2 linked regions of the Sus scrofa genome follow. The protein of the gene in region 2 interacts with the protein of the main gene of each other region in a biochemical or structural test. Links are inferred from orthologs where the notes say so. Each region holds a gene or a part of one and is shown on either strand. Other genes may lie near its edges. The genes, in order: CABP1 and ITPR1.

Region 1 (3,808 bases), on a different chromosome or scaffold from region 2:
TCCCATTGCCTTGCAGGCCCCTTCTCCCCTGCTCTTCCTGGTCTCATTGGGTGGAGCATTCTTCTCTCTGTTGTGATGACCCCCCCCATTAACGCTGTTTTATTTACAGGTGTTGGATTCCAGACTAGCTCTGTTCCCTGACACATTCTTGTGTCTGGAATAAGGAGCTGGGGGCGCAGAGGTTCTGTGCCCAGGCTGGATGGGGCTCCTGGCTCCCTGCACATGTCCCACGTCTGTGAGACATGCGGAGTTGCACCTTTTCCCTCCAGGACGTGGTCTGGGCACGCCTCGGCTGCTGCCCACCACCTCCCACCAGGCACCTGCTGCCACTCGGCCAGCCCCCAGCTGGGCATCATAAGACTTGAGCTCCTCACAGCTGCTAACAGAACATGTTCTTTTGTTTCAGGACAGATCGCTGCGACCAGAGGAGATTGAAGGTAAGACCCATGTCCTCAGGGGAGAGGGTTGCTCAGCCATCCAGGAAGATGAGGGGAGGGAAGAGAGGCAGAGACATCTCGGCCTCTGGAGAATGGGGCCTGGTACAGAGCTGGGCATCCTCTGCTCAGCCAGGTGCTGGAGGAAGGCATGGTTCTGGGCAGCTCCAGGGTCTGACTGCCCAAATCAGTGGGGGCTGCCATAGCCCCAGCAGGGCCAGAGGTCCCGCCCCAGCCCGTCCAGCTTGCTTCTCTTCCCCAGAGCTCCGGGAGGCCTTCAAGGAATTTGACAAGGACAAGGATGGCTACATCAACTGCCGGGACCTGGGCAACTGCATGCGCACTATGGGCTACATGCCCACTGAGATGGAGCTCATTGAGCTGTCCCAGCAGATCAACATGAACCGTGAGTCCTTCCCTGGCACTCCCCGCCTCCCTCCACCTGTCCTTGTCCATGCTGTCTTCTGCCTGGGTTCCAGTCCTGGGCCCACCTCTTCCTAGCTCTGCGACCTGGGGAAAATCACTTACCTTCTCTGTGCCTTATTTTCCTCACCTGTGAAATGAGGGGTGGGATGGGGGAGTAGAGCACAGGAAGTCAATTAGGGGGAATATTTAGTCACTTTTTTTTCTTGGTGTATTTATTCATTTATTTATTTTTTTGGTAACAGCTTTATTCATATACCATACAATTTACTCACTTGAACCATACATGCCAGTCAGTGGCTTTTAGTGTATTCAGAGTTGCGCAACTATCTCCACAATCAATTTTAGAAAATTTTCATTTCCTCCCAAAGAAACTCTGTATCACTTTGCCATCACCCCCAAGCCCCTCCCTAGCCCTAGGTAGCCAGTAATCCACTTTTTGTCTATAGAGATTTGCCTCTTTAGGGAATTTCTTTCTTTTTTAAATTGAAGTGTAGTTGACTTACAATATTATATTAGTTTCAGGTGTACAATATAGTGATTATTTTTTTTGAGGGGGCACTGCGTCCACGGCATATGGAAGTTCCCAGGCTAGGGGTCAAATCAGAACTACAACTGCCAGCATACACCACAGCCATAGCAACTCCGGGTCTGAGCCATGTCTGCGACCTACACCACAGCTCACAGCAATGCCAGATCCTTAACACTGAATGAGGCCAGGGATCAAACCTGCATCCTCATGGATACTAGTTGTATTCATTTTCGCTGGGCCACAACAGGAACTCCCCCAAATTTTTATAGATTATATTCTATAGTTATTGTGGGAGTTCCCACTGTGATGCAATGGATTAAGAATCTGACTGCAGTGGCTCAGGTTGCAGCAGAGGCATGGGTTTGAGCCCCAGCCCAGTGCAATGAGTTAAAGGATCCAACTGTGGCTTGGACTCAATCCCTGGCCCAGGAAATTCCATGTGCCATGGGAGTGGCCATAAAATAAAATGAAATAAAGTTATTGTAAAATATTAGAGTTCCTTGATGGTCTAGTGGTTAAGGATCCAATATTGTCACTGCTCTGGCACAAGTTCCATCCCTGGCCTGGGAACTTCTGCATGCCATGGGCATAGCCAAAAAATAAATAAAGTTATTGTAAAATATTGGCTACATTCTCTATGCTGTACAATATATCCTTGTAGGAGTTCCCATCGTGGCTCAGTGGTTAACGAATCTGACTAGGAACCCATGAGGTTGCGGGTTCGATCCCTGGCCTTGCTCAGTGGGTTGAGGATCCAGCATTGCCATGAGCTGTGGTGTAGGTCGAAGATGCGGCTCAGATTCCGAGTTGCTGTGGCTCTGGCATAGGCCGGTGGCTACAGCTCCGATTCGACCCCTAGCCTGGGAACCTCCATATGCCACGGGAGTGGCCCAAGAAATGGCAAAAAGACCAAAAAAAAAAAAAAAGTCCTGTTATGATCATTATACAACTACAGATATGATAAGTTCATTTGAGTAATAAAAAAAATGAAAAAAAAAAGTCCTTGTAGCCTTTTTTTTTTTTTTTTTTTTTTTTATTTTCCCACTGTACAGCAAGGGGGTCAGGTTATCCTTAGATGTATACATTGCAGTTACAGTTTTTTCCCCCACCCTTTCTTCTGTTGCGACATGAGTATCTAGACATAGTTCTCAATGCTATTAAGCAGGATCTCCTTGTAAATCTATTCTAGGTTGTGTCTGATAAGGCTTTTTTATTTTATACATAGTTACTACCTCTTAATCCCCTGCCCCATCTTTCCCCACCCCCACCCCTCTCCCCACTGGTGACCACTAGTTTGTTTTCTGTATCTGTGAGTCTGTTTCTCTTTAGGAGACATACCTAAAACGGGCCCAATATTTGGCACACAGCAAGAGGTGAACAGAGATGCTATTTTTATTATCTTTGTCTCCATTTGGGTTCTCCCAGAAGCAGACCTGGAGACAAGGGTTTGAGTGTGAGTAGTTTATTCGGTAGGGGAAGCACAGCGTCGGCAGGGAGTAGGGAAGCGAGAGGTCAAAGGAGCCATGGAGGGAACGACAACCACGTGGGTGACAGAGTCTAGTTCTGCTAGGGGCTCAGGGAGCTGGTGTAGCAGGCCCACCTCAGAGTTCCCATAACCCTCACCTTGCAGGCTGGGTATTTATCCCCCAAATTCAGTTGCTGGCTGAAAGTGCTGTGAGCAGGCCCTAGGGGCAGCTCCATTGAGAGCCAGTTGGAAGGTGAGTTCTATTTGCATAAGGGGAAGGCAAGGTGCGTGAGGGGCCCAGAACTTCTGTTTCTCTCTGCCTTTCTGCATATGTCTCTCTCCTTCTCTGAAATTCTTTGCCCGTCTCTGTGACCTAATGTTTCTTTCTCCCATCCATGTCTGTCCCTGTCCACTTCCTAATTTGTTCCCTTCGTCAGCCCCTGGTCATTCTCTGATAAACCCCACCCCCATCTATGGTCATCTCTCTGGCCTCATTTGGCCTTTGCTTATACACTGGCGCTGGGCAGGTCAAGGAGGGGATGGCAGTTCCCCCAGTTGCCTAGTTGGAAATGGGCAATGGTCAGATGGATGACCCAGCCCTTTTCTCTGTCCCCAGTGGGTGGCCATGTAGATTTTGATGACTTTGTGGAGCTAATGGGACCTAAACTCCTGGCGGAGACGGCAGATATGATTGGAGTAAAAGAGCTGCGAGATGCTTTCCGAGAGGTGAGTGACGGGCAGTGGAGAGGCAGGGGGCAGGGAGTTCACTTGAATTCCAACCCAGGATGGCTATCTGAATAGAAACCTGAGTTCTGGATCCCAGACTAGGGGAAGGAGCTGGGACAGAGAAGGGCTCTGGGGAAGGGGGGCAGTGATGCTGGAGAAGGGGCTCAACCTTGGGATCTGCTTCTGACAGGGTCCATGTTCTAGCTACCTCTCCCCCCCTCCTCCCTT
Region 2 (4,515 bases):
AACACATACATACATGCGCAACTGAAAGTAAGAAACGAAAAAGAAAATTGGCCACAAAACAAACTGAAGGGTGTATGAAAAGATATTAACATTTCACAGTTTAGATTCACTGCAATTTAAACTTTCAAATTATTCAGATGGAGAAACACCTGATCCATTTAACCTGCTCAGATATCTTGATGTAGATGATCAAGATGGATCTCAGGTATGGGATAAACCTAATGCAGACCTTAGCCATTGTTCCTTGTTGTTTGGCTTGGTTTCTTTTCCTCTCCTCTTGCAGGCTTTCAGCACATAGCATTCCAAAATGAATTCGGTACCACCCCTAAGACCTCCTCAGATAACCACAGTCTTTTTATTCCTACATCTGTGGCTGCATCGTTTTCCTCTTACATCAGGGTAACTTTGCTCAATGGTGGGACACAAGCAAGAGTTATATCATCCACAGCAATAAATTTACCATTTTTCCTGGTTTTTTTTCCTCATTCTCCCCCACCTTAGGTGCACTGGTGGGAAACAGTGGAGTCCCACAGCCTGGTGTTCCCCCTCCTGTGCTGTGTGCTAACTAACAGGCAAGTGTTTTCACTCTCCAAACTTCAGCTTCTTCACCTGGACCTGATTCAACAGGGTTTCTGTGATGTCTGACACGGGACCTGGCTTATAAGTACTTAATTGTATTATTATTATTATTTTTAGCAACCAGTCATAGAAGAGTTAGTGGACCACTTTCCCCGGACTGCAGCTTACTCTGAAGAGGAGAACTAACCCCAAGCCTTGGCCTTATGAGTGCCCACGTAGCCATGCGATTCAGGAGAACTCCAAGAAGGAAGTAGACCTCACACATCCAAATGCTTCCCACTCCACCAGCACTCCTGAGGATCTTATCAACAGGAAACAAAAGCACAGTACTACTATAATGAAGTGTCTGACTTTTCTAATTAGCAAAGCCCAAAGATTGTAGCCCAGGGAACAGCTAAATATTTAGAAGCGATCATGAAGACCCAGTCCCCCAAAGGATCTGTTGATCCTGTTCCTGACCGTTTCAGAAGAAAAAACTTTTGATGCTCAATTCTGCAGCAACGGGGATGTATGTGCACCAGTTAAAATCTCCCTCTATTCAACTGCAGTCTGAACATCTGGGGGAGGAAGGCATAGGAGCTGCTTCTGTTTACAAATAAACAGCTCTCAGCTAATAACCCAGGACAGGCATCTAAACCATAGCGATCCACCAGATTCCTTGACATTCAAGTGGCTTCAAGTCAAGGGCTGGAGGCTACTATCTTATGCTTCAAGAACTTCCCTTTTTAAAGTTCTAATTCTTTCAATTGGCCAGCAACCACTTTCATTTCTTGCAAGCAAACCGACCCTGATTAAACACCCATTCACAGTAAGAAAAAAGAAAGTGACTATTTTTGAAAGAGGCAGGCAGATAATTTTTGCTTACATATCTTGGCAGATGAAATGCACTGCATCCTTCAGAATTTAAATCTTCAGCACACCACCTGGCAAGTTCAGTTCTCAGGTCACCAATGGGCATCCCTTGTACTGCTCCATTTAATGTTGTTGTGAGGGTTTTTCTTCCCTCCTGTCAGAAACCTGGCTGCTTCACTTCTGAGCCAGGACCAAAAGCCCTAGGCAGGACCATCCCCTGGTTATCATCAGCTCCCTAAAGCCCTCATCCAAGGTGGTGACAAATTTTGGAGACTGAGCCATGGAATTTCCCTTTCTTTCCTGCTCCCCTTCTCCATGGCTCTTTAGAGAGAACTTAAAATAGGCTAGGACAAAAACTTATTATGGACTACAGCTCTAAGGCTTCCACACTTACCTGACCCAGGTCAGGCACTCTGTTGCCAAAACACGCCCAGCCAGGGGTGCGAGTCCTGTTCCTCTGTAGTCAGCTCCTGCATATTAAGAAAGAAGACTGAATATAAGATTGGCTGATGATGAGTCCCTAATAGAAATTCTCAAATTCCACACTTCCACTTTCTTTAGGCTCTTTCCTGGAGGGACAAACCCCCTCCCACCTACATACACACACACAGGGCCACCGCCACCGCCAAATTTGACGGGTGTGTTGGTGGGATCAAGAGGTGAAGGTTACAGGTAACTTCGCCTATTTGTTTCTAATATGTAACTGATAAGTGAGACTAGGAACGCACAAACTTCCAGTGTGCCGGGAAGATCTGAGACTAAGGGAAGTGTTTGGCAGATCCCAAAGCACTTGTTTCCCGGAGCGAAGGCCAAGTATCTGAAGCCCGCATCCTCATCGGGCGTGAGCTTCGTCCACACTTGGTCCTTCACCGCTCCTCGGGTTTTCTTCCGTTTTTTAAAACCCTCTTCACCGGGACCCCCAAATGCATTATTCTCCCAACCATGCAGCACGAGGGAGGGCTACATTTTAAGAAAGATTATTTCCTTGAGCGGACTCACAGAGGACATCCCCACGCCCCCCCCCCCAAAAAAAAAAAAACTATTTCCTGCAGCTGCTGCAACAGTTTCCAACTTGGGGGAATGCCATTCCAATCCAGAATGGGTAGTCCTCAAAGCCAGGCGATGGAGTTGAGAATTTTTTTTTTAACCTCAAATGAACCCCCCCCCAAAACGTCCTCAGTAAAAGAACCCCCAAATGCACGCAAGTGCATGCAAATCCACCAAGAACTACCAAAAAGCGAGGCAAAAACTTCTGCGCCCGGGGGGACAGTACCAACTCCCCGCGCCCTCCGCCCGGCCCCAACCTCTACCTTGGTGCCCGGGGAGCCACGCCGGTTTGGGGGAGCAGGGCGAGGAGAGGGGTTAGCGGCTGCTGGGTAATCCCATGTCCGCGAAGAGGGAGCTCGTTCCGTTAGGATGGAAGCGGAACACCCACACCTCCTCTCGGCGTGCGCTTTCTCTCTCTCCACCCTCTGCCTCCTCCTCCACCACCACCACCTCCTCCTCCTCTCCTCCCACCCCAGCAAGCTTGAGGAAACGCTTCAGCAGCACATCCACATGGTTACTGCACTTTGAAGCGGCTCCTGGCAGCTTATATAGGCCGGGAAGCTCCCTGGGCAATGTAGTCCGAGCCCAGGGTCGTGGCGGCGCCTGGGGCCGCGGTGACGAACTACAAGTCCCAGAATCCCATGGGCTACCGGGCTGAGCTCTAAATAGACGCGCGCGGGGACAGGGAGGGGCGTCCTGCCCCGCGCCGAGGCTTCAAACCCGGTTCAGTGCTGGGAGCTGGCTGGACTTGGAGACGGCGACCCAAAACTACCCCTGGAGGGCGCCCCCAACCCTTGGGGACGCTCCTCCTTTGGCTGTCCCCTTTCCCTAGAATCCAGGTGTCCCTGGTAGCAAGGGGCGAGAGGAGCTCGGATTTCTGCTTTGGGAAGTTTTTACAAGCTGTTACCCACCCTCCCCCCGCTTTGAGTACCAGAGCCAAGAATTTCAGAAATCCAGGGCACGAAAAAGCCAGTGTTTGCGGTCAAGGATTAAAGGCGCGAGGTTGTCTTTATTTAATCTGCTCCGCCCGGTTCGGGTTTGCACAGAAAATTAAGTCTGGGAGCAACACTAGCAGGGACGCTGGCAAGTGGCTAGAGAGCACTTTCCTGAACCCGAACTGCATGTGTCTTTCCTCGCCCCGCAGGAGGTATAGAAACTTAAGCCTCTCGGTGTACAAATAAAGGAACCGAGTTTTGACTTGCCAGGGCTGGGATTGGGAAGCAGAAAATAAATACAAACCGCGACCTCGGTCCTGACCCTGCTTCTAGCAGCCCCTCTGCTCCTGGGAGCTGTAAATGCTTAAGTAAATAAACCGCAAACCAGAAAAACAAGGGCTTTGGAATGAGTAGCTTACACAAAGATGCGCGTTCAGGCGGGGTGCCCTCCAGCAGCTCCCACAGGGGCTTCGGGGGCAAGATGGGTTTCAGCTCACTGCTCAGGAGAGCCTGGACGTCCCGGGTTACAATCTGCTTCAGACTCTGGTTTTTGGAAGAAGGGCAGAAGCTAAGTTCGGAGGCCAAGTCTGCCAGATGCCCTCCCTGCCTCAGACGATGTGCGTTCATTGCAGAAACGTTTCCTGAGAATCTACTGGGTGCCAGGCACTGGGGCATGGTAGTGAGCCAAAACCACATCATAGAATTCCGAACAGACACAGCTTGCCACCGCATAGATCTGCTGCAACAACAATGGTAATAATAATTAGGCAGATTTTATTGAGTCCAGACCACATGCACTTTTCATGCTTAAAGCTGTTAAGTTTTAACAACCGTAGGCATATGTATTATCCCTATTTGACAAACGAGGGCTCAAAGAAATCAGGTAACTTCCCAAGATGACACCATAATTTAAGTAGTGCAGCCTGGATTTCAATTCCAGTCTATAAATGTACCAAGTCCTTGTCTTTGGGGAAATCCATCACCACTGCCTTAAACAGCCTCCCTCCGCATTTTAGGAGTAGCCTCTGAGCCCTTGGGCAAGTCATCTTTATCTCTTTGCCCTAGTTTTGCCATCTTAGAGGAAGAAAATCATCACAATTTG

What was found.
Region 1: the proteins of ITPR1 (region 2) and CABP1 form a complex in vitro, tested with the Homo sapiens proteins (2 studies listed by BioGRID). The link is inferred for Sus scrofa from reciprocal best matches to the Homo sapiens genes ITPR1 and CABP1.

The regions. Positions count from the first base shown.
Region 1 is NC_010456.5:40,580,097-40,583,904, forward strand, and holds part of CABP1 (calcium-binding protein 1), read left to right. Parts: intron 1-406; coding exon 407-437; intron 438-696; coding exon 697-840; intron 841-3,470; coding exon 3,471-3,580; intron 3,581-3,808. UniProt on the Homo sapiens protein: Modulates calcium-dependent activity of inositol 1,4,5-triphosphate receptors (ITPRs). Inhibits agonist-induced intracellular calcium signaling.
Region 2 is NC_010455.5:61,066,610-61,071,124, reverse strand, and holds the start of ITPR1 (inositol 1,4,5-trisphosphate receptor type 1), read right to left. Parts: upstream 2,995-4,515; 5' UTR 2,742-2,994; intron 1,902-2,741; 5' UTR 1,826-1,901; intron 1-1,825. UniProt on the Homo sapiens protein: Inositol 1,4,5-trisphosphate-gated calcium channel that, upon inositol 1,4,5-trisphosphate binding, mediates calcium release from the endoplasmic reticulum (ER).